7 linked regions of the Callithrix jacchus genome follow. The protein of the gene in region 1 purifies or fractionates together with the protein of each later gene. This does not show direct contact. Links are inferred from orthologs where the notes say so. Each region holds a gene or a part of one and is shown in the gene's direction. Other genes may lie near its edges.

Region 1 (4,710 bases):
ATGGGGTTATATTCAAGACTGAGTTATTCCAGTGAAACATGAACTAACCGTAAAGCTTGAAGAATAAGATTGTAGATAATTTACTTTTCTATTTAATTATAGCATAAATAAATTTTTACTTTTGTTAAGGAGACTACTGAGCATAATTAAATCTTTAAAAACTTGTAAGACTTTGGTACTTTATTCTTCTTTTTTTTTTTTTTTTTGAGGCAGAGTTTCACTCGTGTTACCCAGGCTGGAGTGCAATGGCACGATCTTGGCTCACCGCAGCCTCTGCCTCCTGGGTTCAGGCAATTCTCCTGTCTCAGCCTCCTGAGTAGCTGGGATTACAGGCATGCGCCACCATGCCCAGCTAATTTTTTGTATTTTTAGTAGAGACGGGGTTTCACTATGTTGACCAGGATGGTCTCGATCTCTTGACCTCGTAATCCACCCGCCTCGGCCTCCCAAAGTGCTGGTATTACAGGCTTGAGCCACCACACCCAGCGGTACTTTATTCTTCTGGGCATCAATTCTCATTTTTAAAAACTACAGTTATAGCAAGTATAGTAGATGTTGTTTAAGATGTGTGCTAGCAATTTCAGGTTGGGTTTTATATTTAAAGAAAATTCCTGGTAGACACCAGGTGATAAGTTTTGTAATTTGGCTTTTATCTCCCACCAAAAGTAGAAGGTAGACAGTGAAATTTGATCATACATAGGTTCTGGTTAATCATAATTATTCCATCATTCTTAAATTTAGGAGTTAAAAAAATTTTGAGGTAAATACGTTATATAGTTTTAAAACATGCTGTAGCAAATAAGTATAGGCCACACAAAGAGCCTAAAAGAGACATCTACCAGTATATAAAGCTCAGAAGAATATCTGAAACTTAAAAATAAACAGTCTCTTTTTATCTCATTACTCCCACCAAATTTGACGATAAAGTATTTAAGGTACTTTTTATTTTAGGCTATTTACAAAGAAAAACTCTTTATTGATGTGGAACATACATAAAAGTGCACATAAGTGAAGAGCTTGATACATTTTCACAACTAATGAAACCCATGTAAATGGTACCCAGGTCAAGAAACACAGTATTATTAGTTTCCTTAAAAAGAGTTAGTTAGTTAGTTAGTTAGTTATTAAGACAGAGTCTCACTCAGTCAGCCAAGCTGGAGTGTAGTGGCATGATCTTGGCCTTCTGCAACCTCTGCTTCCCAGTCTCAAGTGATTCTCATGCCTCACCCTCCTGATTAGCTGGGATTACAGGTGCCTGCCACCACACCCAGCTAATATTTGTAATTTTAGTGGAGATGGGGTTTCACCATGTTTGGCCAGGCTGGTTTCAACTCCTGACCTCAAGGGCCACCTGCCTTGGCCTTCCAAATTCTGGGATTACAGACGTGAGCCACTGTACCTAACCAAGTTTAAGTTTTAGATATATTTATTTTTTAAAAATCAGAGACTTAAATAAACTTAAGAGACTTGGGTCCTGGATCTAACTTTATTACTAATTTAAAGTGTCCCCTCAGGCAGGGGACTACTTCCCATCTCTAAAATGAGGGAATAAACTAGATGTTTTATCATTGCTCTAAATCTGTGAAAGTGTAAAAAGATGGATTACCGTGGTACAAATGTGGTATAAAAAGTTGTGGAATAAGACTGGACTTGTGGTTCTTTTTCAGCAATTTAATTGGAAAGAAAGACATGCAATTTTTTTCCTTTTTTTTTTTTCTGTTTTCCAGGTTATATTTCACACTATGTGCTGACTGTATCTACAGAAGATATTTAAAAAAAAAAAAAAAAGATAAACTTTTTTTCAAAGATTTTGATTCCAGTGGAATCTTTGCTTTAGATTTGTGTGTGTGTTTGTGTTCGTGAATTGTAACTCCAGAAGCAATGCCTGTACAAGCTCCACAATGGACGGATTTCCTCTCCTGCCCAATTTGCACTCAGACTTTCGACGAAACAATTCGAAAGCCCATCAGTTTGGGTTGTGGCCATACTGTCTGCAAGATGTGCCTGAATAAACTCCACCGCAAGGCTTGCCCATTTGACCAGACCACTATCAATACAGACATTGAGCTTCTCCCTGTGAACTCAGCATTGCTGCAGCTCGTGGGTGCTCAGGTAAGATGGGTGACTTAATACTTTCAAATTTCTGTGTGTGTGTGTGTGTGTGTGTGTTGTATGTTTTTCTCCTGAGAGAAACCTGTTGAATTAAAATTGGGTAACATTGCCTTCTACTTAAATAGGTATAAATCTGTTTGGTACTGCAAACCCTTTATTTCAGCATGTTGGATTTATTGTGGTAGGTAGCCCAGTGCTTTTCAGTCATAGCACAGTAACATCCGTTTAATCTTGTCAGATATTCAATAAACCTAGCTATGCAGATCACTAGAGAAACCTAAGGCCAGTTGTGGTGGCTCACGCCTGTAATCCCAGTACTTTGGGAGGCCGAGGTGGGTGGATCATTGGAGGTCAGGAGTTTGAGATCATCCTGGCCAATGTGGTGAAATCCTGTCTTTACTACAAATACAAAAAAGTTAGCCGGGTGTGGTGGTGTACCCCTGTGATCCCAACTATTCGGGAGGCTGAGGCACAAGAATCGCTTGAACCCAGGAGGCAGAGGTTGCAGTAAGCCAAGATCACACCACTGCATGCCAGCCTGGGTGACAGAGTAAGACCCTGTCTCAAAAAAAAAAAACCCTAAGATGTAAGTAATAAGAACCTCTTTTAACATTGAGAAAAATATTGTTCATAAAACCACTACACTTTACTCACTATGGAAGGTGCAGCTGCTTCAGGCAGTTTTACTCAGTAGACGATAACTGAAATGAAAGATGAAAAGGTGACAACTATAGCACAACGTTTGGGAACCATTAGAGCATACTTAATGTATTATAGACCTAAAAATGGTTAAGATGGTACATTTTGTGTTATGTATATATTCTCACAATTAAAAATTATCTTTTTCTTTCATCTAAAAGGAAAAAATAAATTAGACTATAAAATAGATCATCACCAATTTGTCCTAGGAATGTAAGGTTGATTTAACATCTGCAAATCAATTAGTAATTCACTACATCAATAAACATTTCAAAATTGCACACATATGATCATCTCAGTAGACACAAAAAAAGCATTTGGCAAAATCCAGTACCTTTTCATGATAAAAGCACTGAAACAACTAGGAAAGGAACTTCTTCAACCCGACAAAGGACATGGATGAAAAACCCACCACTAACATACTGAATGGTGAAAAACTAGATTCTTTTTCTTAAAGATCAGGAACAAGTCAAGGAACTCCACTCTTAACTATTTCTGTTCAACATCATACAGGACCTTCTAGCCAGGGCAATTAGTCAAGTAAATTAAACGAATGACATTCAGATAAGGAGGAAAAAAGTAAAAACTATCTCATTCACAGATGACATGATCTTATATATAGAAAATGTTAAGAAATCTACAAATGAAAAGCTAATAGAAACAAAAAACTAGTTAGACAAAGTTACAGGATATAAGATGAGTATATAAATATTAGTTGTCTGAAGAAGCAAAAGTCTCAAAAGTGTAAAAATGTGTTTACAATGTTTCATAATCTTTATTTTTTTCTTCCTCTGTTACACAGGCTGGAGTGGCACAATCTTGGCTCACTGCAACCTCTGCTTCTCCAGTTCAAGTGATTCTCGTGCCTCAGCTTCCCAAGTAGCTGGGATTACAGGTGTGCACCACCATGCCCAACTAAGTTTTGTCTTTTTAGTAGAGATGGGGTTTCGCCATGTTGGCCAGGCTGGTCTCCAGCTCCTGGCCTCAAGTGATCCACCCGCCTGAACCTCCCAGAAGTCTAGGAATACAGGCATGAGCCACCGTACCCAGCTAGTGTTGTATACTTTCATCCACAATATGTTAATAATAGTTTTCTTACACATATAAGAAAGACTGTCTGGCATATAGTAGGCCCTTAATAAAGATTTGTTAAATAAATAATATATGTTACATTTCAATACACTAGCAGTGGACACTCTGAAAACAAAAATCGATTTCATCTACAAGAGCATCAAAAAAATAAAATAAAATATTAAGAATATATTTAACAAAAGAAATGTAAAACTAGACCAGGTATAGGGGCTCACGCCTGTAATCTCAGCATTTTGGGAGGCCAAGGCTAGCAGATCTCTTGAGGCCAGGACTTCTAAGACCAGCCTGGCCAACATGGTGAAACCCCATCTCTACAAAAAAATATAAAAATTATCCAGGCATGAAGGTGCACACCTATAATCCCAGCTACTCAGGTGGCTGAGACAGGAGACTGGATTGAACCTGGGAGGTTGAGGTTGCAGTGAGCTAAGATCATGCCATTGCATTCCAACCTGGGTGACAGAGCATGACTGTCAAAAAAAGTAAAACTATATTTTGAAGACTACAAATCATTGTTAAAAGAAACTTAAGACTTGACTAAACATTTATTCATATTAGCTCAAAATGTATCAAAGGCTAAATCTAAGAACTAAAACTATGAAACTCTTAGAAAACATAGACATAAGACTTCATGACCATGGAATAGGCAGTGAGTTTTTTTTTTTTTAGATATATGACAAAAAGCACAAGAAACAAAAGAAAAAGGTAAGTTGAACTTCATCAAAACTAAAAACTGTGTTTCAAAGATGTTCATATTAGCTGGGTGCAGTGGCTAATTGTAATCCCAGCACTGTGGGAGGCCAAGCT
Region 2 (4,006 bases), on another chromosome or scaffold:
CTTTTTTGACCTATAAAAGCAGCACTTTTATATAGCTCAACCATATACTTCATTATCTAAACGTCTTGGTTTTCTCATTATAAATCTCTTCCACAGAATTGCCATTGAAATTAAATATTTAATTTGAAAACCAACGAGCACAAGCTCTGGCACATAATAATGTTTCTTCTCATGTTTAATTCCCTTAGTCTCTACTAAATTTTGTTCAAGGAAGGCAGATACCGGATCACTTTTCTTCTCGTTTTTAATTTTCCTATTAGTGCTTATCAAAGGGCCTGATAGGAATGGAGTATGTGTTGGATATATATGTGTTCCCTCCAAATATGTATTCAAATGAAAGGAGAAAATGATGGGAAAATAAGATTTTTTTCATTAAACCTCTGTTCCGTTTGCTGCATTGGCCTGTGTATAATCTAGCAATAAGTACTGATCACTTGATCAGTACTTGGATGGAGTCTCAGTCTGTCGCCCGGGCTAGAGTGCAGTGCTGCAATCTTGGCTTGCTGAAGCCTCTGCCTTATGGATTTGAGCGATTCTCATGCCTCAGCCTCCCACATAGCTGAATTACAGGCACGTGCCACCATGCCTGCTATGTTGGCCAGGCTGGTCTCAGACTCCTGACCTCAAGTGATCTGACTGCCTTGGCCTCTGAAAGTCCTGGGATTGCAGGTGTGAGCCACCATGCCCAGTCCTGATCACTTGACTCTTTAATTTTTAAAATTAAATAAACTCTTATTTTCTGGAGAAGCCCTGGCCTGTTGGCACTTGTTCTGTGTTCTCTCCAGCAGGGGACCTCCTCGCCCACGACCTGCCCCAGCAGTTGGAGAGGCTGAAGATAAAGAGAATCAGCAAGCCTCCAGTGGTCCGAACCAGCCGTCTGTTCGCCGTGGATACCGGCGTCCCTACAATTACCGGCGTCGCCCACGTCCTCCTAATGCTCCTTCACAAGATGGCAAAGAGGTAAATCCAGCCAGTCAGGGCCGATGTTGCCCGATCGTTTTTAATCATGCCAAATTGTAGCATTCTAAGAGTGGCTTTATCACGTGATAACCTGACACTTAACAAATATGAAAACATTTTGCTCAGTATCCTTATATATAGGGTATGCCTTGCACATAACACAAACCAAATATTTGATTCCAGTTAAAATTTTTTGAAAGAATGACCCATACTGATGGGAATTTAGAGCATTAGGGCTCCTCAAATAACAGAGGCATTTATAGAGGAAGCTGCCTCTAAGCGGGAGCTGAAAGCACTTAACACAGACTTGATGGAGAGCAGTGGTGTTTAGTTGCTGTTTGTAAGCTGTTCTTCTACGGTACCAATTTGTTTTGTTTTGTGTGGGGTTTTGGTTTCGTTTTGTTTTGGCAGAGATGCCAGGGACTGAATGTGGGACTCATTTGTGACTCATACAGAAGAGTAGTTAAATTGCATAGTGATTTTTCTTCACAGGCAGGAAAATTTAAGAGTCTTGAACTTCCCACTGTCACCTGACTTATTTCTGATTTATGGCTTTGTTTTGCGTTTTAGACCAAGGCAGGTGAGGCACCAACTGAGAACCCTGCTCCAGCCACCGAGCAGAGCGGTGCTGAGTAACACCAGGCTCCCCAGGCACCTTCACCATCCACAGGGTAAGAGCTGGGGCAGCCCAGTCTTGAGTTGGTATTTTCTTTTCAATATCACTGGCTTCTCACCAAGAGTACAAATTAGTCTAAAGTAGTTCTGCAGTTCATCTGTGGCAACCCCTTGTCTCTGTTGGGATTCTGTGGAAAAAGTGATTTGGTGGTTAAATATTTCTGGGATTGACCTCATTTTGATAAGCTTTGGTGAGGGTATAAACATTCAGACAGAGGTGATGATAACGCAGCTTCCTTTTCTACACAGGCAGTTTGTAACTTCTAGTGCCACTTAGGAAAACAGATGCAAAAAGTCCCTAACAAAGGCCTGGTTTTAGTAATCAGAAACCAGTTCAGAATCTTTAGTAATCAGAAAGAGTAGAGTAAACTAAAGGGGTTTTCCTTTTCCTTTTTCTTTGATGATCCACTTTATTTGGAAGCAGTGCAGCATAATGTGTAAGAGCCAAGGTTTTTCTATCCAGTACAGGCCCTGCTGCACCCCTCATTTGCTTGTTGATCCAGAGTAGTTTATCCTGTTTTATCCTACTGATCTCGAACTTCTGTCCTGTGGAAAAAGTGATTTGGTCACTAGCAGATGTTTTGATCACTGCTTGCCTTGGCCTCCCAAAGTCCTGGGGTTACAGGTGTGGGCCACCACGCCCAGTGGTAAAAATGAGGATAATAATTATACTTACTAGGGTTGTTGCAAAGATTATTAAGTGAAATAATGGTTAGGAGATGTTTACACTAGGGTAGGGTAAAGAATAACCTCTTGAAAAAGGATAGCTTGTTATTTTGTCATTTTCTACTTTTTTCTGTCTTTTAAAGATACATTTATATACAGTAGAAATATAGCTAGAAAAATCAACTCAACTATAAATTCTGGGTTTTTTTTTTAATGTATAACCTTTTAAACTGAGAAGTTAATTCTTTTGATACTTCTTGCTTTTGCTCTTTCTATGAGCTTTTAGTTAAGAGAGAGCTTATAAACTCAGTATCAATGCTATTTTTCAAAAATTGTTAAAATTTCATAAATGAAGTTTTGGGATTATTATAAGTTCTTGTGTCTTAATGCCATCTGCTTTTATATCCAGCGATTTCGGATTTTAATCAGCCTTTTATTAGGTAGATATTTGCTATGAGGGCAATATTCTGTTTTATCTTGGGTAGCATGGACAGTTTGTCACATAAATAAGTTCCCTATTCAGACTTGGAATCAACTGATTTAGAGTAACATATTAATCATATAAAAATGGCCGTAACCTTTTATGGAGTAATGTTACTTCCAGGTATTATTTCTAAGGAAATAGTTTAAATATTGGGAAAAAATATTTCTACAATTTACAGTCTGACATTTGGGAAGTGGCTAACTGCGATATATTCATATTAGGAGCTAGGGATCAGCCACTAAAATGATTTTGAGTATTACTCATTAGTAATGGTAATTTTCTTTTATACACTTTTATAAATTTTTTCTATTATGTACTGACTTTTCTGGTTTATAAAAATACTTTATTAAAAAGTAAGAGTCCATTTAAATAACAGATAGCTTACAGATCTATACTAGATGTGATTATTTAGAGCATTTGATGTACTCTTTTTCTAATTATATGAAAAGCAGATAATTTTTGCCTTTTTATTGTTTAACTCTTGGTTACTTTGTCACTCTTTCTAAGTTTGATTTTAATTTTCTCCAGGTGACCTAAAGAATTAATGACGATTCAGAAATAAAGGAAAAAGCAGGTCACAACCTTACAACACCAAAGAAACATCTAAGCAATAAAGTGGAAGACTAACCAAGATTTGGACATTGCAATGTTTACTGTTATTCTTTAAGAAACAACTGCAAAAGGAAAATGTCAGCAGATTTTTCCAGCAAGCTGAGAACCTGGGAATTGCTGCACAGAAGACAAGAGAGCAACCTCTCCCGTTTCAGCAACCACTAGCTTTATATTTTTTTTCCTGGTTTTTACTGTTTTGGTAATATAAATTGAAACAAGAAATATTAATCCCACATGGGGAGAACCCCAACCAAAGAAATATATAGGAAATGCTTTTTTTTCGTTTTGTTCATTTTGGATGCTGGTGCTAAACCTCCAAGTGTCATGATTTAAAAAGAAATTTTATGTCCTCCTTATTTATTTCTAGGATGAGGGAAGGATAATATTTTTGCTTTCTTATGTGACTCTCTTTGAAAATGTGCAGTAAGAAATTCCTCAAAAATAAAATTTTTACCCTTCAAAGGACAAAATGTTTAACGGGAGTATGTTTTTGCCGACCTTAGCGTGCGTTTGTCTTTCTCCTTCATTTCACTTGCTTGACTTAAGATTAATAGTAAATTCAAAGCCAACTGTAAAGATATATTAGTATTATTTCATAAATTTAGGCAT
Region 3 (3,719 bases), on another chromosome or scaffold:
GGGTTTTGCCATGTTGGCCAGACTGGTCTCGAGCTTCTGACCTCAGGTGATCTGCGCACCTCGGCCTCCCAAAGTCCTGGGATTACAGGTGTGAGAGCCACCATGCCCGGCCCATGTTTCCTTTAAAAAAACCTTTGTCTTCTTTTACCTCCCTGATAAGCATATAGTCTACACCCATTCCCAAATAAATATCATTTTCTTTTAGAGTCTGTTATTTAGGTTGACATAAGATAGCACCGGTCTTTAGTTTTCCATGGTGAAGGGTACAGATGGAATGGAAAGGAAGCTCAGGTACTCTGAACGGTCTGCCTCTCTTAGGATTTCTGTGGGATTCAAGAGTATGTGTACGCTTCTGAAAAGCGTACAGAAACTTAAGGCTTAACTTTCTGCCTCGGTTTTAGAAATAAATATTATTATTACATTGGCAGGGTGGCCTTGTTTGTACCTCCATGATTGCCTGGCTGGCCTTGCTAACATAATCACATCTGTGATTGGATATAGTGGTGTTTAATTTAATGATTGCCTTAATTCTTAAGGCAATCATAATTCCCCACACACACTCATATGCTAGGACCCCGCCCCTTATCTGAAAAGTTTTGGCCTCATATAGACATTGCCAGGCACTGTGTTAAGTGCTTTACGGGCACTGGCCTTCACTTGATTCTAATAACGTGCCTGATTAGGTATTTTATTACACCTTTTTTACAGCCAGGAAAGGCCAACACTAACAAATAATTGTAAACTCTACTTAACGTCACAGCCCGGAGTCTGCCTTCCCATCCTCCAGCATAAAGATCCTTCTTGGACAGATACCCCTAAGTTCTGACAAGCTCGGGGTTACAAGAGCAGGGAAGTAGGATGAAGTAGCTGAATATCAGCAGCTCTGCGCTCCCAAAAGCGTCGCCAATGATCTGGTGCCAGCGCCTGCTCTGATTTCGCTTTCGAAAAACTGGGTAGCTACTGGAGTCGATGTGCAACTCCTCTCAGTCCTGACTAACCTGGGATGTCCTGCAGCCAGAATCTAACCCACACACTGTCCCAAAGAGCACTCCAGTCTCTGCCACTTTCCCTCTCGTTCCTATATCTACACTCGAGACAAGTTCTCCAGATCGTAAAACTGCAAAACTAAGGCCCCAAGTAGGAATGCCTTAGTTTTCAGAGTTACAATGATTAACAGTGAGCCTCAGACACGCGATGCCCTCAGCTCCAGGCTCAGCGCTCTCACCAACAGCCGTAGCCCGCAGCTCCGCTGGACACCGGTTCTCCATCCCTGCAGCAAAGCCCAAAACTTGGTAGCTGCCATCTTGACCCGCTACGCTAGCCGTCGGCGCGCGCAACCGTCTGGTCCCGCCCCCTCCTGCGCGCGCTGCCTGGGACGGAAAAACGCCTGCGCCAGTGTAAAGGGGCGGAGCTAGTGCCGCCTTGGGCGGTACAAATACCAGGGCCCCTCGCGGTCGCTCAGTAGTGACACGACGCGCAACCGGTGATCTGTACGTGCGCGCCCTCGCTCCTTCCTCTTTCTCGACTCCATCTTCACGGTAGCGGCAGCTGACACCGCGGTTCAGGTAAGACTCGGGCCTTGGCTGGATCCGAAGGGCTTAGTAGCAAGTTGGCTGCCGGGTCAGAGGGAGCGGGGTAAACTGAAGAACGGGACCTGCTCTGTGGTTCTGCTCTAGTTCCTATCCGAACTTCTTGGCAGGCCTGGCCTTCCCCACGTGAGTCTCCGCGACCCCCTCCATCCCGTCGCGATCGTTTCTGGGCCGCTTTCCATTCCCAAACCTGCTTTATCCCAGAGCGTTTCCTCGCTTCTCTTACAAGCCGTCTTTACTCAGTCGCCAACATGCAGCTCTTCGTCCGCGCCCAGGACCTACACACCCTTGAGGTGACCGGCCAGGAGACGGTCGCCCAGATTAAGGTAGGGCTGTTTGGTGCGCCCTGGATTCCATTTTCTTGTGCTCTTCACCTTCGGGGACCGAGAGGACTCTTAGGAGCTTTATCTTTCCCTGTAGGCTCATGTAGCCTCACTGGAGGGCATTGCCCCGGAAGATCAAGTCGTACTCCTGGCAGGCACGCCCCTGGAGGATGAGGCCACCCTGGGCCAGTGCGGGGTGGAGGCCCTGACCACGCTGGAAGTAGCAGGCCGAATGCTCGGAGGTGAGTGAGAGGAATATTTTTTGTACTACCTGTACGCGTCTATGGGTGTGGGGCATGGTCCCGGTAGCTGAGTGTCGTCAAACCTATGGTAATACAGAGTTCTCCCCTGTATCCTCAGTTCACAGTGATTCTTCTTGTTTACGTGCCTCAAATTGAACACAGACATCCATGAGAGACTGAGTCAGAGTGAAGTTGCATTTCAATCACATATAGGATCCTTGTCTGGCTATAAGCTTCCTCACTAAAATTAGGTCAGCCCAGAGCCCCCAAAGTGCTCTATAAAGTTAGGAGCTGGAAAATCCTTAAATGAAACTTCAGATTTCAAGATCAAATATCTGCAACTTTGTTCTCATTACCTATTGGGCCCAGCTTCTTTTTAAAGCTTGAATTGAGGAAAGAGGGGTTTTGCTGGGTGGCACCTTCTTGCTCTTAACCTGCCTTCCTTTCCCACTACAGGTAAAGTCCATGGTTCCCTGGCCCGTGCTGGGAAGGTGAGAGGTCAGACTCCTAAGGTGAGTGAGAGAGTGTTAGCAGTGGTGTTGTTTGAACTTTGTCTTTTCCTGTCAGAGCTAATCCAAGACCCTGGGCTCTTACCTGGTTTGCCTTCTCCTCCCTGGAGATGAGCCTGAGGAAGGGATGCTAGGCAAGGTATACAGGAACCAGGGCCCTCCCTTTTCCAGGTGGCCAAACAGGAGAAGAAGAAGAAGAAGACAGGCCGGGCTAAGAGGCGGATGCAGTACAACCGGCGCTTTGTCAACGTTGTGCCCACCTTTGGCAAGAAGAAGGGCCCAAATGCCAACTCTTAAGTCCATTGTAATTCTGACTTTCTCTAATAAAAAAAGCCACATAGTTCAGTCGTCAAGTTGTTTCATCTTTATTTGCAAAGCATCAGGGAGAGGTGTGGCTTCTTGGATTGGTGGTGTTTCCCCTAGAACAGTAAGGCAGAAGCCATTGATAATGGGGGGACGAAATGGTAAACTAGCATTCCTTCACAGAAAAGTTTCCTGTAAAGAAGCAATAGCCACAGATCCTGGCGCTTCACATGCAGAATTGGGGTTATTCCCCATCCTAAGTAACTTGATCAGTCCTCCCAAGTTACTCTTTTTCATCTTCTAAACAGAGAAGGTAGCAGGAATAATTGTGAGGTTTGTTATGGAGGCAGCAATGGAAGAGAGGGGTGGGGGATGAGGTTTGTATAGAAGATGAATCTGGCCATTCCCTGAACTTGGGACCAGCTGTGGCCTTAGAGTCCAGGGCAGGAATCTGGCTGGCCATGCTAACCTAATCACATCTGTGATGGGAAATCAGGCTGGCCGGCCATGCTAACCTAGTCACATCTGTGATCGGATACCGTGTTCCCAAAAGTGGAGTACCTCTGGGGCTGATTCAAGCTTCCCTTCTGGCACCTGAGTCTCCCAGCACTTCCGTACCCTACTCACTCATTTAGCCAAAGTTTCTGGACCTGCCAGATCTTAGAAAATAGCATCCCACAGGGTAAAGCCCTTGGGCTGTGGACTTTTGACTGCCTGAGTTTGGACCTTCTTTTTTCCTGCTCCATTTACTGG
Region 4 (4,006 bases), on another chromosome or scaffold:
TAATTGTATTGGATTTTGCTCTTAGAATTTTCTCCAATCTGATGTAAACAAAATGTAGTGGCCGGACACGGTGGCTCACGCCTGTAATCCCAGAACTTTGGGAGGCCAAGATGGGTGGATCACGAGGTCAGGAGTTCGAGACCATCCTAGCTAACACAGTGAAAACCCGTCTCTACTAAAAATACAAAAATTAGCCGGATGTGGCGTGCACCTGTAATTTCATTACTCCGGAGGCTGGGGCAGGAAAATCGCTTGAACCCGGGAGGCAGAGGTAGCAAGCCGAGATCGCACCACTGCTCTCCAGCCCCGGCAACAGAGTTGAGACTGGTTCAAAAAAAAAAGTAGCACATATCCCAGATTTTCAGCCTTGTGTACTTTGTCCACTAATACCAAACATGTTTCCATTGTCACCAAAAAAATCTTCACTGATTTTAACAACTCTCTTAAATTTAGGGTAATTGTGAGAGGCATTTCCTCATTTTTTATACCATATCTTAAAATTCTCATAAGTTTATTGGAAATTATTTGTATTTTGTAGACTTCTGAACAAGAAACTAAAGGCCTTCCCAGCAAAAAAGGAATTGTACAGTCTATTGTTGGTCAAGGCTATCATCGTAAAATAGTTTTGGCATCACAGTCTATACAGAATACTGTTTATAAGTAAGTATTTTCCAAAGAAAAAGTATATATATTTAATACTGGTTTACACGATGTTACTTAAAGTATGCTTAGGATTTATCATTGCATAGGAGGAACCACTTTCTAACTAGGTTTTATTGCTGTTTCAACAAACAGACCCTCATGTTAGAGGTCCATAGTGAATGTTATCTTAACATGTGATTTTGGTTTATTACATTCATGGATGCTGCAATTATTATTATTGATGGCCTAGGAAACCCTAGTCTATTCAGTGCCATTATTAAGAATATCCAGAAGAGGGCATCTTGGTGTCTCCTTTTTATGTAGTTTTGGTTATCATTTGTACTTTTCATTTAGGTATTTTTTTTTGTAGTCTCTAGCACTGAAAATACATGAAAGTGAATTCTTAGTATTAGGAGAAAACAAGTGTATTAAAACATAAAGCAACCAACCAAAGCAGTATAGAAGCTGTCACATGTACAGTCTTCATTTGACAATTTGAAATTGCCATTATTTGTAAAGTGTCAGACTTTGCAAAGAATTAGCTGACTTAATTTGTTTTTGTCAAAGAAGAAAATCTCTACTATTTAAAAATTATTCAAAAGTTTAAAAAACATCTGATGTCCAATTTAGTCTTAATTTAGATTAACTATAATGCAGGAATATTTTTAAAGACTATTATGATAAAGCATTTCAAAATTTTAAAGCAATTTCAACATGGTTACTACTTTTCAAAATTTTATTTTTCCCTAATATAGATTCTGTTTGAATATATCAAACCAATAGAAAGTTGTATAAAATGTCATTGAAATTATCAGACCAAAGGTAGGGTTGCTGTTTAAGTGTATAGAGAGGCATTTTTGAAAACAAGGATCAACCAAAGTAAGCCTCAAACATGAAAATCTATTTTCTTCCCTCCAATCCCATTCTTAATAAACCTGTCATGGCCCTCATTACAGTTGCCCTTGAGCGCTTGTCTGCAGTTTCTCTAGTATGTTAACATTAACAATGTAGATAGATATCAAATTGTCTCTCCCCCTTGGTCTCATTCATAGAGACACAGTGTACGTAATTTATATACTTGCAACCCATACTGTTTATGACCTATACTCAGGATTTAGATTCTATAGTGTTCTTTTATAACAGCTTATATTAAAATTTCTACCTATCAAAAGGCAAAACTTTCATTTATAATTCGTTGGTTTTATTCCTTATAATAAAAAGTCTTATTTAAAAATTTTTTATTTACTTAGCTAATTTGGTTTTGTTCTTTTAAGTGATGGGCAGTCTTCGGCCATTCCTGTAGCCAGTATGGAGTTTGCAGCCATATGTCTCAGAAATGCCTTGTTGCTGCTGCCTGAGGAACAGCAAGATCCAAAGCAAGAAAATGGGTCTAAAAATAGTAATCAATTAGGTGGGAACACAGAGAGCAGCGAAAGCAGTGAAACTTGCAGGTATTCTAATCCTTGTGACCTCCCTTGGCAAAATCCTTTCAGGACTTCTTTAGTAAACCCTTTTGGTTTTTAAGTAAATTCCTAATATCTTCAGCCTAAATTTCTGAAATTATCTGTTTTGTATAACAGGAAGGGAAAGTATTTATATTTCTAGTCTTTCTGGAAGAGAGAAATAAGGTGAAAGCTAAGTTAGGAGAGATCCCTGAAAAAGAAAAGTAGAAAGTAGCAGCTTTGGTGTGGTGGCTCACTCCTGTAATCCCAGCACTTTGGGAGGCTAAGATAGGCAGATCCCTTGAGGTCATGAGTTTGAGACCAGCCTGGCCAACATAGTGAAATCCCGTCTCTAGTAAAAATACAAAAAATTGGCTAGGTGTAGTGGTGGGCACCTGTAATCCCAGCTATTCTGTAGGCTGAGGCAAGAGAATCAGTTGAACCCAGGAGGTTGCAGTGAACCAAGATTGTGCCACTGCACCCCAGCCTTGGCAACAGAGTGAGACTTTGTCTCAAAAAAAAAAAAAAAAAGGAAAAGAAAAAAGGAGGAAACTAGCAGCTTTTCATTGACAGGAGGGATGTTTGTAAGAAGTCCTGTTGTCGGCCAGGCACGGTGGCTCATGCCTGTAATCTCAGCACTTTGGGAGGCTGAGGCAGATGGATCACCTGAGGTCAGGAGTTCAAGACCAGCCAGGCCAACATGGCAAAACTCTGTCTTTTAAAAAAAAAAAAAATTGGCCAGGTATAGTGACTCATGCCTGTAATCTCAGAACTTTGGGAGGCTGAGGCAGGCAGATTACTTGAGGTCCGGAGTTTGAGACCATCCTAATAACATGGAGTAACCTCATCTCTACTAAAATTATAAAATTAGCCTGGTGTGGTGCCACATGTCTGCAATCCAGCTACTCAGGAGGCTAAGGCAGGAGAATCGCTTGAACTGGGGAGGTGGAGGTTGCAGTGAGTTGAGGTAGCGCCATTGCATTTCAGCCTGGGCAACAAGAGTGAACCTCTGTCTCAAAAAATAATAAATTTTGGCCAGGCATGGTGGCTCATGCCTGTAATCTCAACACTTGGGGAGTCTGAGACAGTTGGATCACTTGAGGTCAGGAGTTTAAGACTAGCCTGGCCAACCTGGTGAAACCCTATCTCTATTAAAAATACAAAAATTAGCCAGGCATGGTGGCGGGCACCTATAATCCCAACTACTGGGAAGGCTGAGGCAAGAGAATCTCTTGAACCTGGGAGGTGGAGGTTGCAGTGAGCCAAGTTCATTCCAGTGCACTACAAAATGAGATTACTTTTCAAAAAAACAAAAAAATTATTAAAGTAAGTGCTTAACTCCTAAAGCTTCTCATTTGTTACTATCCTCTGCTTGTCACCTTAATATACTCTAATTACCAACCTCCAGAATATTTTTGTATAGTTCTAGTTTCTAGTATAAATTCAAAATTGTGCAAATCTAGGCAGGGAGCTGGAGGCCAAGAGTTCAAGTTTAGCCTGGGCAGCATAGCAAGACCCCATCTCTTCAAAAAAATAAAGATAAATAAAAATTATGTGACTCTTTAGAAATTGGGAGAACTTATCTTGTAAGGATAAAACAAATACCATTATATATAGGAAATTCTTTTTCTTTTTTGTTTGTTTGTTGAGACAGTCTCCCTCCATCGCCCAGGCTGGAGTGCAGTGGCACAATCTCAGCTCACTGCCACCTCCACCTCCCAGGCTCAAGCACTTCTGCCTCAACCTCCTAAGTACCTGGAATTACTGGCGAAGCACCACTACACCCAGCTAATTTTTGCCTTTTTAGTAGAGACAGGGATTTGCCATGTTGTTGAGACTGGTCTTGAACTCCTGGCCTCAAGTGATCTGCCCACCTCCACCTCCCAAAATGCTAAGATTGCAGGCATGAGCCACCACGCCCA
Region 5 (4,590 bases), on another chromosome or scaffold:
CCTGCCTCAGCCTCCTGAGTAGCTGGAATTACAGGCAGGCACCATCATGCCCAGCTAATTTTTTGTATTTTTAGTAGAGACGGGGTTTCACCATGTTGACCAGGATGGTCTCGATCTCTTGACCTTGTGAACCACCCGCCTCGGCCTCCCAAAGTGCTGGGATTACAGGCGTGAGTCACTGCGCCCGGCAAATTTCATGTTTTTTACCATCATTTTTTTTTTTTTTTCAGTATATATTTTTTTTTTTTCAGTATTTTTTTTGGCACAAGAGGTAATATGAGACAGATGGCCAGGCGATCACCTGCTAAGCCTAGCCTGAGAGCAGGGGTGAGCAGGGGATAGGTTTTAATTTCAAAAGGTAATAGAGTTAACCAGTCAACACTTCCTTCCAGTCCTTTCTCTTTTGGGTACAGGTGAGCATAAAATCTTACCAATTATCATAGTTAACAAACAAACCATAGCAAAATATGTCTCTATGCTTTTCCACTTGAGAGCAAAGGACATGGGTATCCTTTCTTAGACGGCTCCTAGGACTTAAGCCAGGAAGAACACTTGTGTTTCCTTCAATAGGCAGAATTAAAAGAGAAAATTCCCTTGACGAAAGCGAAGCAAGCGAGGACCAGGTGGCCACCTGTGTGACTACATCCCCCAGCATGTACTGCTCCTTCTAGGGCGCAGCCAGTGACGGAAGAAGACGCGGTACTTCTCCGATGAGAACAGGGTAGGGAAGCGCGACTACATATCCCAGGATGCAAGGCGCCCCAACTCTAGTCACTATCTGACTTGCTTTCTGGCTGGTGTTCCCCGCCAAAGGGACACTAGGGGGGCGGAATGTTTCGGTTGGTACTCCCCGAAGTCTACTGGACTGTGACATTTCGAAAGAGAAAGGAAAGTGGAGGAAGGCTGTTTCACTGTAACTCAAAGTAGTTCCTGCACAAAGTGGCGAGGAGCTATGGGTCCTTTCCATAATTTATTGTTCCTCAAAGGCAATGCCAAGCGCCACTGGTCGCAGCCCTCCAGGGCAGGTAGGAAGTCCATGAAGCCCCAAATCGAAGTTATCAGCGTCTCTCTATTGGCCCTCGCCTCGAGCGCAGGCGCGAGGGCTCCGACTCAGGTCCCCTGGGCCTGGTGAGCGGCAATTGGCTACAGTCCACGAAGTAGAAGTCTGGATTGGTAGTTGCTAGCAAAAGCCTGGTTTCTTCCTCGACTTCTGCAAGTGATAGAGTGTGATTGGTTTAAATCCGCGGGTAGCTGTCGGTGATTGGGCGGGAGCCACAGGCGGGGCGCGGCCATTGGCTGGCGCTGGGACCATCCCTCCTCGGGCGGGCAGCGAATGATGAAATGGGAACGGGGAGGGGAAAGGCCGCGACGTGAGCGCGCGACCTCCGGCGCCATTTTGTCGAGAAACAAGCGGAGTTAACCGAAGAGGGGGTTGAGGAGAGCTGGAGTCGGGGACCCAGGAGTTTCCTGTGTTCAGCGCTGCTGGAGCCGTCTGAGGTGAGGCGGGCTGGCGTCAGGGCCTGGGGTACGGTGGCGGTGTTAGCTTGGGGACGCCAGTGCCAGTGGGAGGAGGAACAGGGGTGCACCTGGGGCCACTGGAAGCGTTTCCCGGAGCTCCGGGGAGTGAGAGGCAGCCGGGACGGGCAAGTGGGGCGAGGCGGGAGACGGCTCTCGGAGGCTTCGCGCTCTGAAGATGAGGCCAGCGAGAAGGCTCTAGGAAGCGGAGGGTAGAGCGCGGGATGAGACCCGGGGTGGCCTCTGTCCCGGGCCTGGAGGCTCAGGGGGCGGCAGTGGCGGCAGTTGGTGTCGCTGGGCCTGGCTTCGCGCGGGTTGCATCCTCCTGAAACCCCCCCACGACCTCCTCAACTACTCTTTCTCACTCTGCACCCGGATGGGTGCAGTGGGCATCGGCTCCCGAGGCCTAGCGCTTCGGATGGGGGGAACGGTGTTTGGAGTTTTTGCACGTTTCCAGTTTTTCTCAGTGTGCTCGGAGCTGCCACTCTTCCCCCTCTTACGCCCCCTGCACATTGTCAAAGCCCCCCATGTTTCGGGTGTCCCCGGATGGGAAGGGCGGGCGGGAGCGAGCACTTCCTTATTACTTGCCACAGGTTTTGTTCCACTAGCGCGCCCGGGCGCTCACACTTTCTTTGAAGTCGGCCCCCACCTGCTCGGTCCGGTGTCTGCAATAGTGGCGGTCCTGTTCACCCAAGACAAGTGTCCCGCTAGTGAGCTGAGCACTCATAGGCCTGAAGGCTGACGAGAGATCCTCTGCAGGTCTTGTAGAGGTACTTAAGGCCAAAGACAAATAATACTTTTTTCAGTACCACCCTCTGCAGAATTCACCCAACAGGGCTCACAGATACTAACTCCGCAAGGAGTAAACTTTGTAGATGAAAAAAGAATGCTTGATATCTGTGCATTTGAAAATGTTATATTTAAAATAAACTTTATGACAAACTTTTCCCCTAAAGTTAAATGTCACGTTTCTTAGGACTGTAATAAATTAAAGGCAGTTTTCTTCCTGAAAACTGAGTAACAATAGTTAATCTCCCTGCCTGTTCCTCGACAATTTGATCGCCTGTGACTACTTGGATTTTTTTTTTAAGTGTATAATTGAGTAAATACAAGTAAACTTTTTGAAAAAAATGCTGAGCGTTTTCCTTATGACAGTCCCTTTGATAGGAATAGGGAATACATGGATTAAGAAACTGAGGGAGGGCAAGTAAAATATTAGGAAGAAGATCAAACAGATTAAGAACAAATTTTCTTTTTCTTTTTTTCGAGACGGAGTTTCGCTGTTGTTACCCAGACTGGAGTGCAATGGCACGATCTTGGCTCACCGCAACCTCCACCTTCTGGGTTCGAGCAATTCTCCTGCCGCAGCCTCTCGAGTAGCTGGGACTACAGGCGTGCACCACCATGCCCAGCTAATTTTTGTATTTTTAGTAGAGACAGGGTTTCACCTTGTTGACCAGGATAGTCTTGATCTCTTGACCTCGTGATCCACCCGTCTTGGCCTCCCAAAGTGCTGGGATTATAGGCGTGAGCCACCGCGCCCGGCCTCAAATTTTATTTTTCTAGAGGTACTTGGATTTAATAGTTAAGTGGTCTGTGGTCCAGGTTTGTATTCCTACCCAACAGAGGATTTTAGCTATTAAGAAGGTAGGTTGTAACAGTTTAAATAATTACGTTTTAGGACACTGCGAATTGTTACCTTGTCTAAGGAGAAAACACATTGATGATACATGGTTTTAGGTGGCTAGCTGTGCTTTGACTGAAATGATGACATGTTGATAAAACTTGTTTGGAGAGTTGGTCCCTTTTCAACAAATATGGGTCTTCTGAGTCTTAGTGGAAATAAGTCTAGAATTGATTGGGTGCTGTGGCTCATGCCTGTAATCCCAGCACTTTGGGAGGATGAGGTGGGTGGATCACCTGAGGTCAGGAGGTCGAGACCAGCCTGGCCAACATGGTGAAACTTCATCTCTACTAAAAATACAAAAACTGGCCAGGCGCAGTGGCTCACGCCTATAATCCCAGCACTTTGGGAGGCCAAGACGGGTGGATCACGAGGTCAAGAGATCGAGACCATCTTGGTCAACGAGGTGAAACCCTGTCTCTACTAAAAATACAAAAATTAGCTGGGCATGGTGGTGCACACCTGTAGTCCCAGCTACTAGGGAGGCTGAGGCAGGAGAATTGTTTGAACCCAGAAGGTGGAGGTTGCGGTGAGCCAAGATCGTGCCGTTGCACTCCAGTCTGGGTAACAACAGTGAAATTCTGTCTAACAAAAAAAAAAAAAAAAAAAAAAAAAAAAAGATCAAGACCATCCTGGTCAACATGGTGAAACCCCGTCTCCACTAAAAATACAAAAATTAGCTGGGCATGGTGGCGCATGCCTGTAGTCCCAGTTACTCGGGAGGCTGAGGCAGGAGAATTGCTTGAACCCAGGAGACAGAGGTTGCAGTGAGCTGAGATCGTGCCATTGCACTCCAGCCTGGGTAACGAGCAAAACTCTGTCTCAAAAAAAGAAAAAAGGAAAAAAAAAAATACAAAAATTACCTGGGTGTGGTGGCAGGCACCAGGAGGTTGAGGCAGGAGAATTGCTTCAACCCCAGAGGTGGAGGTTGTGGCCAGCTGAGATTGCACCACTGTACTCCAGTCTGGGTGTAAGAGTGAGACTCCGTCGTCCCCCCCCCCCCCCGCCAAAAAAAAAAAGGCTGGACGTGATGGCTCACACCTATAATCTCAGCACTTTGGGAGGTCGAGGCAGGCTTATCACCTGAGGTCAGGAGTTCAGGACTAGCCTGACCAACATGGTGAAACCTTTTCTTGGGGGAAAAAAAAAAAGAAAACCGGGAGCTGTGGCTCACGCCTATAATCCCAGCACTTTGGGAGGCCGAGGCAGGCTTATCACCTGAGGTCAGGAGTTCAAGACTAGCCTGACCAACATGGTGAAACCCTTTCTTGGGGAAAAAAAAAAAGAAAACCGGGAGCTGTGGCTCACGCCTATAATCCCAGCATTTTGGGAGGGGTGGGGGTGGGGAAGGATCAAGAGGTCAAGACCATCCTAGCCAACAGGGTGAGATC
Region 6 (4,006 bases), on another chromosome or scaffold:
CCAAAGTGCTGGGATTACAGGCATGAGCCACCATGCCTGGCCAATTTTTAATAGAGATGGGGTTTTACCATGTTGGCCAGGCTGGTCTCAAACTTCTGACTTCAAGTGATCCATCTGCCTGCCCTGGCCTCCCACATCGCTGGAATTATAGGCTTGAGCCACTGCACCCAGCCAGTTTTCTGCTTTTAAAACAGTGCAACAGTAAACATCTTGGTTTGTCTTTAGTACAGCTCAATTATACCTAGAGGATAAATTCCTAAACATGAAATTCAAAGGGCATGTGTGCATTTTAGATTTTTTTCATCAATAACCGCCAGAGAGATTAACATCAGATGTATGTATTTAGAAAAGCTCCCGTGGTATTCATGAAATATATATTTCCTCTAAGCTCTGGTGCAGAATAAGACTTGGTTTGACTCTAATAAACTCACATTTACTTTCTTGTCTTCATCTGAAGCCTGTGCCTACTGCATTGGCACAAGTGGATAGAGAAAAGATCTATCAGTGGATCAATGAGCTGTCCAGTCCTGAGACAAGGGAAAATGCTTTGCTGGAGCTAAGTAAGAAGCGAGAATCTGTTCCTGACCTTGCACCCATGCTGTGGCATTCATTTGGTACTATTGCAGCACTTTTACAGGTGGGTTCGTGTCCATGATTGGCAGTTAAGCTTTTTTCATCACACTTGTATATTTCTTTACCTTTGCCCAAGTGATTTAAAGACTTCACAAGGATGATTCTTTAAGAGTCAGCAATCAAGATCAGGAGATCGAGACCATCCTGGCCAACATGGTAAAACCCCATCTCTACTAAAAATACAAAAATCAGCTGGGCGTGTTGGCATGTGCCTGTAATCCCAGTTACTCAGGAGGCTGAGACATGAGAATCGCTTGAACCAGGGAGTCAAGAGGTTGCAGTGAGCTGAGATCGTGCCACCACACTCCAGCCTGGAACAGAGCAAGACTCCATCTCAAAAAAAAAAAAAAAAAAAACAGCATTCCTAAGAACCTCTTTTAGAAAGGTCTAAGGTACTTGTTAAAACGCAGATTCTTGAGTCCTTACCCAAGAGATTCAATTTAGTCAGTCTGGGGTGGGCCCTGTAATCTGTATTTTAATAAGCACTTTAACTGCCCCCAGGTGATTCTGATGCAGGTGATCTAAGAACTATACTTTGACAAACACAGCTTTAGGAGTATTGCAAGATAAATCTACATGATGGGGGAAGGAAGATGGAAAGTAAGATATAAGGACCACGTACAGTATATTCCAGGGAAAGGAAATGTTAAAGATAACAGCTGTAGTATTAAAGATGGGTACACTTGTGCATTAAAGAATAAGTGAAGTTTGGTTGGAATCGTCATTGGTGGCTAATTAATTGATATTATATAATACCAAAATACCTAGATAGTTGTGTGATTATCCATTAAAGTATTGCCTTCCTAATAATTATATTAACCTTTCAACTTTTAAGTAAATTCACATTCCATCTCTACTTCATTTAGCCAAGAAACTGGTCTTTGTTATGGGAATGTGTTTCTATGTTAATGTTTTACAAATAATGTAAATAGAATATTATTGCCAGATGCAGTGGTTCATGCCCATAATCCCAACACTTTGGCAGACTGAGGCAGGAGGATTGCCTGAGCCCAGGAGTTCGAGACCAGCCTGGGCAACATGGTGAAACACCATCTCTACAAAAAATACAAAAATTAGCCAGGCCTGGTGGTGACCCTTGTAATCCCAGCTACTTTGGAGGCTGAAATGGGAGGATCAATTGAGCTCAGGAGGTGGAAGCTGCAGTGAGCCATGATCATGCCGTTATATTCGGTCTAGATGACAGAGTCAGACCCTGTCTCAAAAAAGGGAAAGTAAATGGAATTGTATTAAGTCATTAAGTTTTTACAGAGAGTACATCTATTCATTGCTGTTTATACATATCCGCACTCATTGATTCATGTCCGTACTATAGTTACTACCTAACCAAATTCAAACTTCATTGAGTCACTGTGGTTGACTTAACACTTTCTGGCCTGCAGTCTCATCACTGTAACTTAAAGCAGGATGCTAGCAAAAGGAGGGACTATAAAAATTTGAGTATCCCTCAAGTGATAGCCTGAATAGCTGGAGAATATAAGAGGAAGTGTAGGTGACTGCATTTGCCTCCATAGCATAGCCATAGAAATCTTCCCAGAGACAAATGTAGAAATGTCTTAGCTAGTTAGTCTCAGCCAAGTAAGTTTGTGATGAAAGGATATGAGCATTATTTCTGCTCCCTCTTTGATCATTCAGTTCTTTCAAGACACAGAATTAAGAGGTATTTGCTTTACCTTTTTTTTTTTTTTTGCTTTATTACCATGGGAATTAATTTTTAGTTATTCCTTATTCATCTGATGCTGATTTCCATTTTTTAGGAAATTGTAAATATTTATCCTTCTATCAACCCACCCACCTTGACAGCACACCAATCTAACAGAGTTTGCAATGCTCTGGCGTTACTGCAATGTGTAGCATCACATCCAGAAACCAGGTAAATGCTTTGAGTGAGTCACTTAGAGGAGGCATATATTGAAAATGGTCCTAAACTTTCTCTGAATAATAAAAGGAAGGGCATGCAGTAGACCGTGCGTGGGCACGTGTGTGTGTATCTTCCAGATTCTTATTTACTTTTACCCAATGAATTTTAAAGAAACACTATTCACATAACAGGAAAGATACCAGGCATACAGCTACTTCTCACTCCCTAACCATTATTGGCACTATGTCATCTGCAAGGCATAGTACATGGCATACAAGAGGAGTCTAGTAAACACTTTTCCCCAACTGAACCGGATTTCACTTCAGAATCCTTCTTAACATAGTGTTCTGGGTGGCCTCTATAATAGACGGGATTTATCGTGTGAGTTAAAATATTTTTGCCACCTGTTGTATCTGAAAAATTAAGAAAAGGGAGATCCTGTTGAGGAATCTACTTTGTGGCTCTTATGGCCCCAAAGGCACTTAATAGTATTCTTACTAAAACCTTTCCTCTTTGTCAAGTTTCTTTATGAAATATGAATGCCAACTTGGCACTGACCTTACACAGCTTTAGAGAAGTTATTCAGAAAATTAAGCACTTAACAAAAACACAAGGGTACTTTGAGTGTTAAAAATCTTGGGTGTTGGCTCTTCTACAAGGTATGACTATAAATAATATAATAGACTGATTTCCATATTAGTTGCCTGACTAAATTGTTTTCAGAATGGTTTGTATATTCTTCTTTTATTGTTAGGTAAAACAGTAAAAGAAATTGTTTTACCTAACAATAAAAGAAGAATGTGCTTATTAAAGTATAGCAGGTAAGCCTGATAATGGCTGCTTGGTTTTGTTGTCTTGCTTTGTAAGGTTTATTCAACTGCACCTGTAAATACTATTATTCAGTCATATAATCTAAGACTATCTTAATAGCATTTTGTGGTCTATTTTTTTAAATCCACCACTGGACAGTTTAAGTTAATCAGTTTTTAAGGTACTTTCTGCTGATTGCAGGGAAATCATGGGTTTTTTAACCACTGTGACCTGGACTAGGGTTTTCAGCTTTGGTACCATTAACATTTGGGGCTGGATGAATCTTTGTGGTGGAAAGTAGAGGGCAGGAGGGGACTGTCCTATGCATTGTAGGATGTTTAATTGCATCTCTGGCCTCTGCCCACTGGATGCCAATAGTGTTCCATAATCCTGAGTTGTGATAATCGTGACAATCAAAAATGTCTCCAGACATTGCCATGTGTCCTCCAGGGGGCAAAATTTACCCCATTTGAGAACCATTTGTTGAGAGCAATGACCAGTAACATTGTTTCCTAAGGATTCCTTGCTCTGGCAATGTTAAGGCCTTACAGAATTAACCACCTAGAAATTTCAATGTTCAGGATCCTTAGAAATCAACTCTGGGCTGTGAATGTAATTATTCTTTTCTTCCAGGTCAGCGTTTCTCGCAGCACACATCCCACTTTTTTTGTACCCCTTTTTGCA
Region 7 (4,444 bases), on another chromosome or scaffold:
TGTTTAAATCATACCGGAAATATAAAAATTGGATTGGTTTCTATCAGGGCAGAGTCTGAATTAAAGAGTTCATGTCCAGTCTCATAGCGGAGGTAGAAGACTGGGCTAATGCCTGTCACTAGCATTTACAGAGGTGTGAATTTGGTAAATAATTTCATCTGTGAAATGGTTTCAGCATTTGTGAGAAGAGGCAAACTATTTGCCTAACGAGATGTTGACTTCAAGGTTATTCAAAGCTACTGACAAGAGATGCATTTGCTATTTTATATTAACGGAAAGCGATTTAAAATCATGATATATTTAAAGACGGCGCTACGAAATGTGCTTAAAAATGCAATGAAGTTGTATTCTCTTAATTAACTTAATTAGTATCAACGCTTTTAGTCATCATTGATTTCAGTAGTTCCCTCTCCTCATCGCAACTCCTAGCACACACGCACTCGAAATGCTCTAACATGGTATTTATTGAGCCCATGTGACCAACACTACAGCCACCGAAGCCCCGGCTTGCAGGACACGAACGGACAATTAAATGGAATGACTGTAGCAAGCGTTTCTCCAGTCTTTCTGGAGGATTCCCCCGCGTCTAGCGCTGCACGGTCAGGAGTTATCCGACCGCCACACGGCGAGAAGCCCGGGAAAGGCGCGCCACACTCCCATGTGATAGCTCCACTTGTGTTTTTGCTTAGTTCTGCTACCCTAGTTCACGTCCCCACTAGAAGAAACGTATTCCACCTCACATTAGACAGAAGAGCCTCGATTCACCGTGGAGGCTGACGGAGGGGGACTCTGGCAACTGAGCACCTCGGACTTATCACAGGCGGGCTGCAGCCTACCCGCGGCCGGCGCGGCACCTCAGCAACACCCCCTCCCCCGGAAGTTTGTGGGTCTCCAGCTGTAAGGTCTGGGAGTCACCTTGACCCTCCCGGAGCGGTGGGGAAAGTTAGCCCTGGGCCCGAGGGGGCGTGAGTGAAACCAGAGAGCACTTTCGCGAGTCAATTACACCGTCACGTTTTTCTGGTTTCAGGGTAGCTGAAGACCTAGAGAGTTTGAGGGTGGGTAGAGCAGGTGGCAGGACTCCGCCCACCACCACCACCACGCTTCCCCTCCTTCAGCTCGTACGCTTCACTCCCTTCGTGAGGTCCCGCCTCTCAGGCGCGCGCGAAGAGTTGTCGCGAGGTGCATCCTGGGAATTGTAGTCTCTACGCGGGGAGTCGCCTCAGGAGAAACGACTCTGGCCTACATAACCCACAGTGCCTTGCGGCGCAGGCCGCTCCCGGATGTGTGCCTGGCGCCGGAAGAGAAGACGGCCCCCCTCTCTCGGCCCGGCCATCTTGTGGGAAGAGCTGAAGCAGGCGCTCTTGGCTCGGCGCGGCCCGCTGCAATCCGTGGAGGAACGCGCCGCCGAGCCACCATCATGCCAGGGCACTTACAGGAAGGCTTCGGCTGCGTGGTCACCAACCGATTCGACCAGTTATTTGACGACGAATCGGACCCTTTCGAGGTGTTAAAGGCAGCGGAGAACAAGAAAAAAGAAGCCGGCGGGGGCGGCGTTGGGGGCCCTGGGGCCAAGAGCGCAGCTCAGGCCGCGGCGCAGACCAACTCCAACGCGGCAGGCAAGCAGCTGCGCAAGGAGTCCCAGAAAGACCGCAAGAACCCGCTGCCCCCCAGCGTTGGCGTGGTTGACAAGAAAGAGGAGACGCAGCCGCCCGTGGCGCTTAAGAAAGAAGGTAAAGCAGGGGCAGAATGTGGGGGAGATTGAGATGGAGGGAAGGAGCTAGGGGGCTGCCGGCTGCCACTTGTTTCTGGAGCTCCGAGGGTCCCCGGGAGACTTTGTAGCCGATTTCCTCACGTTTCTTCACGCGACCAAAGCCAGGTCCTGCAAAGGTGCCGGGAGCGTGGTAGCCCCAAGTTCAAGCCACCGCCGGCTAGGTTCCCGGAGCCACCTCCTTCCCGCCTCAGGTTGTGAGCAGAGGAGCGTGGTTGCAGATGAGCTGCTCCTCGAGCGCGCTCGACGTACTGGGAGGCTGTTGCCTTCCCGCCGGATTCCTTGGCGGGCGAGCGCGTGGACTGAGGTGCGGGGAAGCCGGCCGCTCACTGAAGCTTCCCGTAGTTATGGAGGAGCTTGGGTCCACCGCTGCTTACTGCCAGAGCTGCACCTTTGAGATGATGATGTTTCGGGCTCCCGTCCTGCCATCTTGTCCCACGACGGAGCGGAGTACCCCCACTGAAAAGCGGGGGTCGTTCCAGGCCATCAGACGTGTGGAATAAGCTGCTGGTTGGGGTGCCGCATATGTTTTATTGTTTCCCCTCTCCCTCTCAACTGTTAGGAGCCTTCTCATAACTTGCTGGGGTGAGTTGAGCTGTCGGGAAATGGAGGAGTTTGCCACACTCGATTAAGCAGAAGCGGGAATTACGAATGAAGACCGGTGATTGCAGGACATCCCGAGGAACGTCCTCGAGTCGCGATCCTCTCTCTCGACTCCCCAGACTGAATCTTTAACTTGGTGTGGTCTGGGTCTCGTGGGTGAAGTCAGTGCAGAGGCTGTCACAGCATTAATCGCAGCAAAGCTCTTTAGAGTCTGCAGTTTTTTCTTCCACCCCACATGTGTGTGAAGCATGATCGGTTTCACTGGCGGTTAATAGTTGTTTCCAGGGCACTGAGTTTCATAGGATTGTCTTGATTTTTGCACTCATTACCGGTTCGTTATGGATGAAAAAGCAAACGGTTTGGGGATAAGAACATGCGTGGTTAGTAGCAAGCAGGTGTCGGACTTCAGCTCTGAATCTTTAAAGTTGTATTTTTATGTTGAAAGTGGAAATTACCCCTTACCACGTGCTTCAGAAAGTTGTTTCTCATTAGCTTTAGTTGAATTCTATAACATTCAACTAATTTTCAAAATCAAAAGTTTACTCGTGGTAGGATTTGTTTTAGGAATTTTTTTTTTTTTTTTTTTTTGAGGACTTTTGTGAGGCTTGTAATGAACCTCGGTCCTAGGTGGTGCGTAAAGGAAAATAATTAATTCTTGTGGTAAAATTGTAGGTTGGGGAAAAACGGGAGTATTAGAAGGCATGTACGTCACTTAGGCCAAGTATCTCTTTAGCTAGTTAAGCTTTATGGGACTCTAGCACAATTAAATAAATCATTTAGTTCCCGTGTTAAGAAACGCTGAAACTATGCTTAAGCTCACCTCAAGAAAGTACATGAAAAAGTTGAGTCTGACGAATAAATCTAAAATGTACCAGCTAGATGTGTTCACTCATTTTGAATGCTCAAAGCATGAAGCATGGTTTAAATGCCTGAGTTTTGATCATGAATCCCGTCTATGAAATAAGCTCTTACCTGAAAAGTAATGTTTTTATAAGTTGCAAATGTGGGGAATGGTTTCATGAAGTTAGAACCAGGACTTAAAGTTCACCATTCAGTAAATCCATGGGAAAACTATTTCATATTAGCAATCAGCATTTTTCTTTCTTTCTTTCTTTTTAAAATTCATTTACTTATTCTTTCCCCCCAGCCTCTTGCAGGTAGCAATCAGCATTTTTCTTAGGTCATTATTTCAGAGCATTCTTAATAAGTTGCATAAAATACAAGCATATAAATATAGGAAACATGATGAATGGAAAATACTCGTTTTGAGATTCTACCGTTTGGTTCACTGGGAATAAATCTAAGGAAAATCCCTGCATAGAGTAGGAAGGTTAACCTGTTTGTGTTCTGTGATTTTGGTAACACATTGTGACACAATGCTTAACAAAGTATAGGCAGATATATAATGTTTTATGAATTAAATTTGTAGCTACTCTTGTCCATTTGAAGAACTTAAGAATTGACAGCAGAATGTCATTGAGAGTGGAACAGACATTTTCTTAAAAAGAATGAATGCTTCGAATCTAGTGCAGTTAGTGAGCTTGCAAGTTATAGATAAGTATATCAAAATAAGCATGCAGTTTTCAGTATCAATCTTTTTCATTAGGTGAGCTTAATAAGTGTTTTTTAAGATTCTGTAAGCCTAATATTGGATATTGGGTGGGGACACCAACTATTGTTCACTTGGGTGTGTTTGGCTTGGATATTATTGCAAGGACTGGCTCCGTAGCTCCACCCAGTACACTTTTTTTTACTGACATTTATTTAAATACCTTGGTGTAAGGTCTAACATTTGTAGTCTTTTTGAGGGTTTGCCGGGAATGAACTTCAAAATTCTATTGAAGAGATTGATAGTTACTGTTTGGCTTCAGTTACAGGGAAGCCAATTGGACAATTGAGTGTATCCTGATGCTGTTCTACTTTCTTAGAAAGAACCAAAGTAAAGCAGCTTAAAGTCTTGTAAAACCAATTCCTCGGCTGCTTTATGATTTTGTTAGAAATTGGGAATTACAGCATACTGGCAATCTTACAGTCATTAATTTAACCATCACTCTATTGATCCTTAAGGCCACC

What was found.
Region 2: the proteins of RC3H1 (region 1) and YBX3 purify together in Homo sapiens (affinity purification with mass spectrometry, with the first as the bait; 3 studies listed by BioGRID). This does not show direct contact. The link is inferred for Callithrix jacchus from reciprocal best matches to the Homo sapiens genes RC3H1 and YBX3.
Region 3: the proteins of RC3H1 (region 1) and FAU purify together in Homo sapiens (affinity purification with mass spectrometry; 3 studies listed by BioGRID, with this or other methods). This does not show direct contact. The link is inferred for Callithrix jacchus from reciprocal best matches to the Homo sapiens genes RC3H1 and FAU.
Region 4: the proteins of RC3H1 (region 1) and CNOT10 purify together in Homo sapiens (affinity purification with mass spectrometry, with the first as the bait; 3 studies listed by BioGRID). This does not show direct contact. The link is inferred for Callithrix jacchus from reciprocal best matches to the Homo sapiens genes RC3H1 and CNOT10.
Region 5: the proteins of RC3H1 (region 1) and CNOT1 purify together in Homo sapiens (affinity purification with mass spectrometry; 5 studies listed by BioGRID, with this or other methods). This does not show direct contact. The link is inferred for Callithrix jacchus from reciprocal best matches to the Homo sapiens genes RC3H1 and CNOT1.
Region 6: the proteins of RC3H1 (region 1) and CNOT9 purify together in Homo sapiens (affinity purification with mass spectrometry, with the first as the bait; 4 studies listed by BioGRID). This does not show direct contact. The link is inferred for Callithrix jacchus from reciprocal best matches to the Homo sapiens genes RC3H1 and CNOT9.
Region 7: the proteins of RC3H1 (region 1) and SERBP1 purify together in Homo sapiens (affinity purification with mass spectrometry, with the first as the bait; 3 studies listed by BioGRID). This does not show direct contact. The link is inferred for Callithrix jacchus from reciprocal best matches to the Homo sapiens genes RC3H1 and SERBP1.

Annotation. Positions count from the first base shown.
Region 1 is NC_133519.1:29,068,934-29,073,643, forward strand, and holds the start of RC3H1 (roquin-1), read left to right. Parts: upstream 1-1,826; 5' UTR 1,827-1,881; coding exon 1,882-2,112; intron 2,113-4,710. UniProt on the Homo sapiens protein: Post-transcriptional repressor of mRNAs containing a conserved stem loop motif, called constitutive decay element (CDE), which is often located in the 3'-UTR, as in HMGXB3, ICOS, IER3, NFKBID, NFKBIZ, PPP1R10, TNF, TNFRSF4 and in many more mRNAs.
Region 2 is NC_133510.1:12,410,642-12,414,647, forward strand, and holds the end of YBX3 (Y-box-binding protein 3), read left to right. Parts: intron 1-785; coding exon 786-960; intron 961-1,530; coding exon 1,531-1,596; 3' UTR 1,597-1,631; intron 1,632-3,313; 3' UTR 3,314-3,867; downstream 3,868-4,006. UniProt on the Homo sapiens protein: Binds to the GM-CSF promoter. Seems to act as a repressor. Also binds to full-length mRNA and to short RNA sequences containing the consensus site 5'-UCCAUCA-3'. May have a role in translation repression.
Region 3 is NC_133511.1:122,201,026-122,204,744, reverse strand, and holds FAU (ubiquitin-like FUBI-ribosomal protein eS30 fusion protein), read left to right. Parts: upstream 1-1,514; 5' UTR 1,515-1,565; intron 1,566-1,699; 5' UTR 1,700-1,715; intron 1,716-1,818; 5' UTR 1,819-1,840; coding exon 1,841-1,915; intron 1,916-2,009; coding exon 2,010-2,154; intron 2,155-2,610; coding exon 2,611-2,666; intron 2,667-2,834; coding exon 2,835-2,960; 3' UTR 2,961-3,016; downstream 3,017-3,719. Other genes in the region: MRPL49 (large ribosomal subunit protein mL49), read right to left, coding at 1,226-1,303.
Region 4 is NC_133518.1:70,915,286-70,919,291, forward strand, and holds part of CNOT10 (CCR4-NOT transcription complex subunit 10), read left to right. Parts: intron 1-538; coding exon 539-660; intron 661-1,916; coding exon 1,917-2,093; intron 2,094-4,006. UniProt on the Homo sapiens protein: Component of the CCR4-NOT complex which is one of the major cellular mRNA deadenylases and is linked to various cellular processes including bulk mRNA degradation, miRNA-mediated repression, translational repression during translational initiation and general transcription regulation.
Region 5 is NC_133521.1:16,470,326-16,474,915, reverse strand, and holds the start of CNOT1 (CCR4-NOT transcription complex subunit 1), read left to right. Parts: upstream 1-1,398; 5' UTR 1,399-1,497; intron 1,498-4,590.
Region 6 is NC_133507.1:140,321,874-140,325,879, forward strand, and holds part of CNOT9 (CCR4-NOT transcription complex subunit 9), read left to right. Parts: intron 1-457; coding exon 458-637; intron 638-2,408; coding exon 2,409-2,524; intron 2,525-3,955; coding exon 3,956-4,006. UniProt on the Homo sapiens protein: Component of the CCR4-NOT complex which is one of the major cellular mRNA deadenylases and is linked to various cellular processes including bulk mRNA degradation, miRNA-mediated repression, translational repression during translational initiation and general transcription regulation.
Region 7 is NC_133508.1:104,663,564-104,668,007, reverse strand, and holds the start of SERBP1 (SERPINE1 mRNA-binding protein 1), read left to right. Parts: upstream 1-1,315; 5' UTR 1,316-1,417; coding exon 1,418-1,730; intron 1,731-4,444. UniProt on the Homo sapiens protein: Ribosome-binding protein that promotes ribosome hibernation, a process during which ribosomes are stabilized in an inactive state and preserved from proteasomal degradation.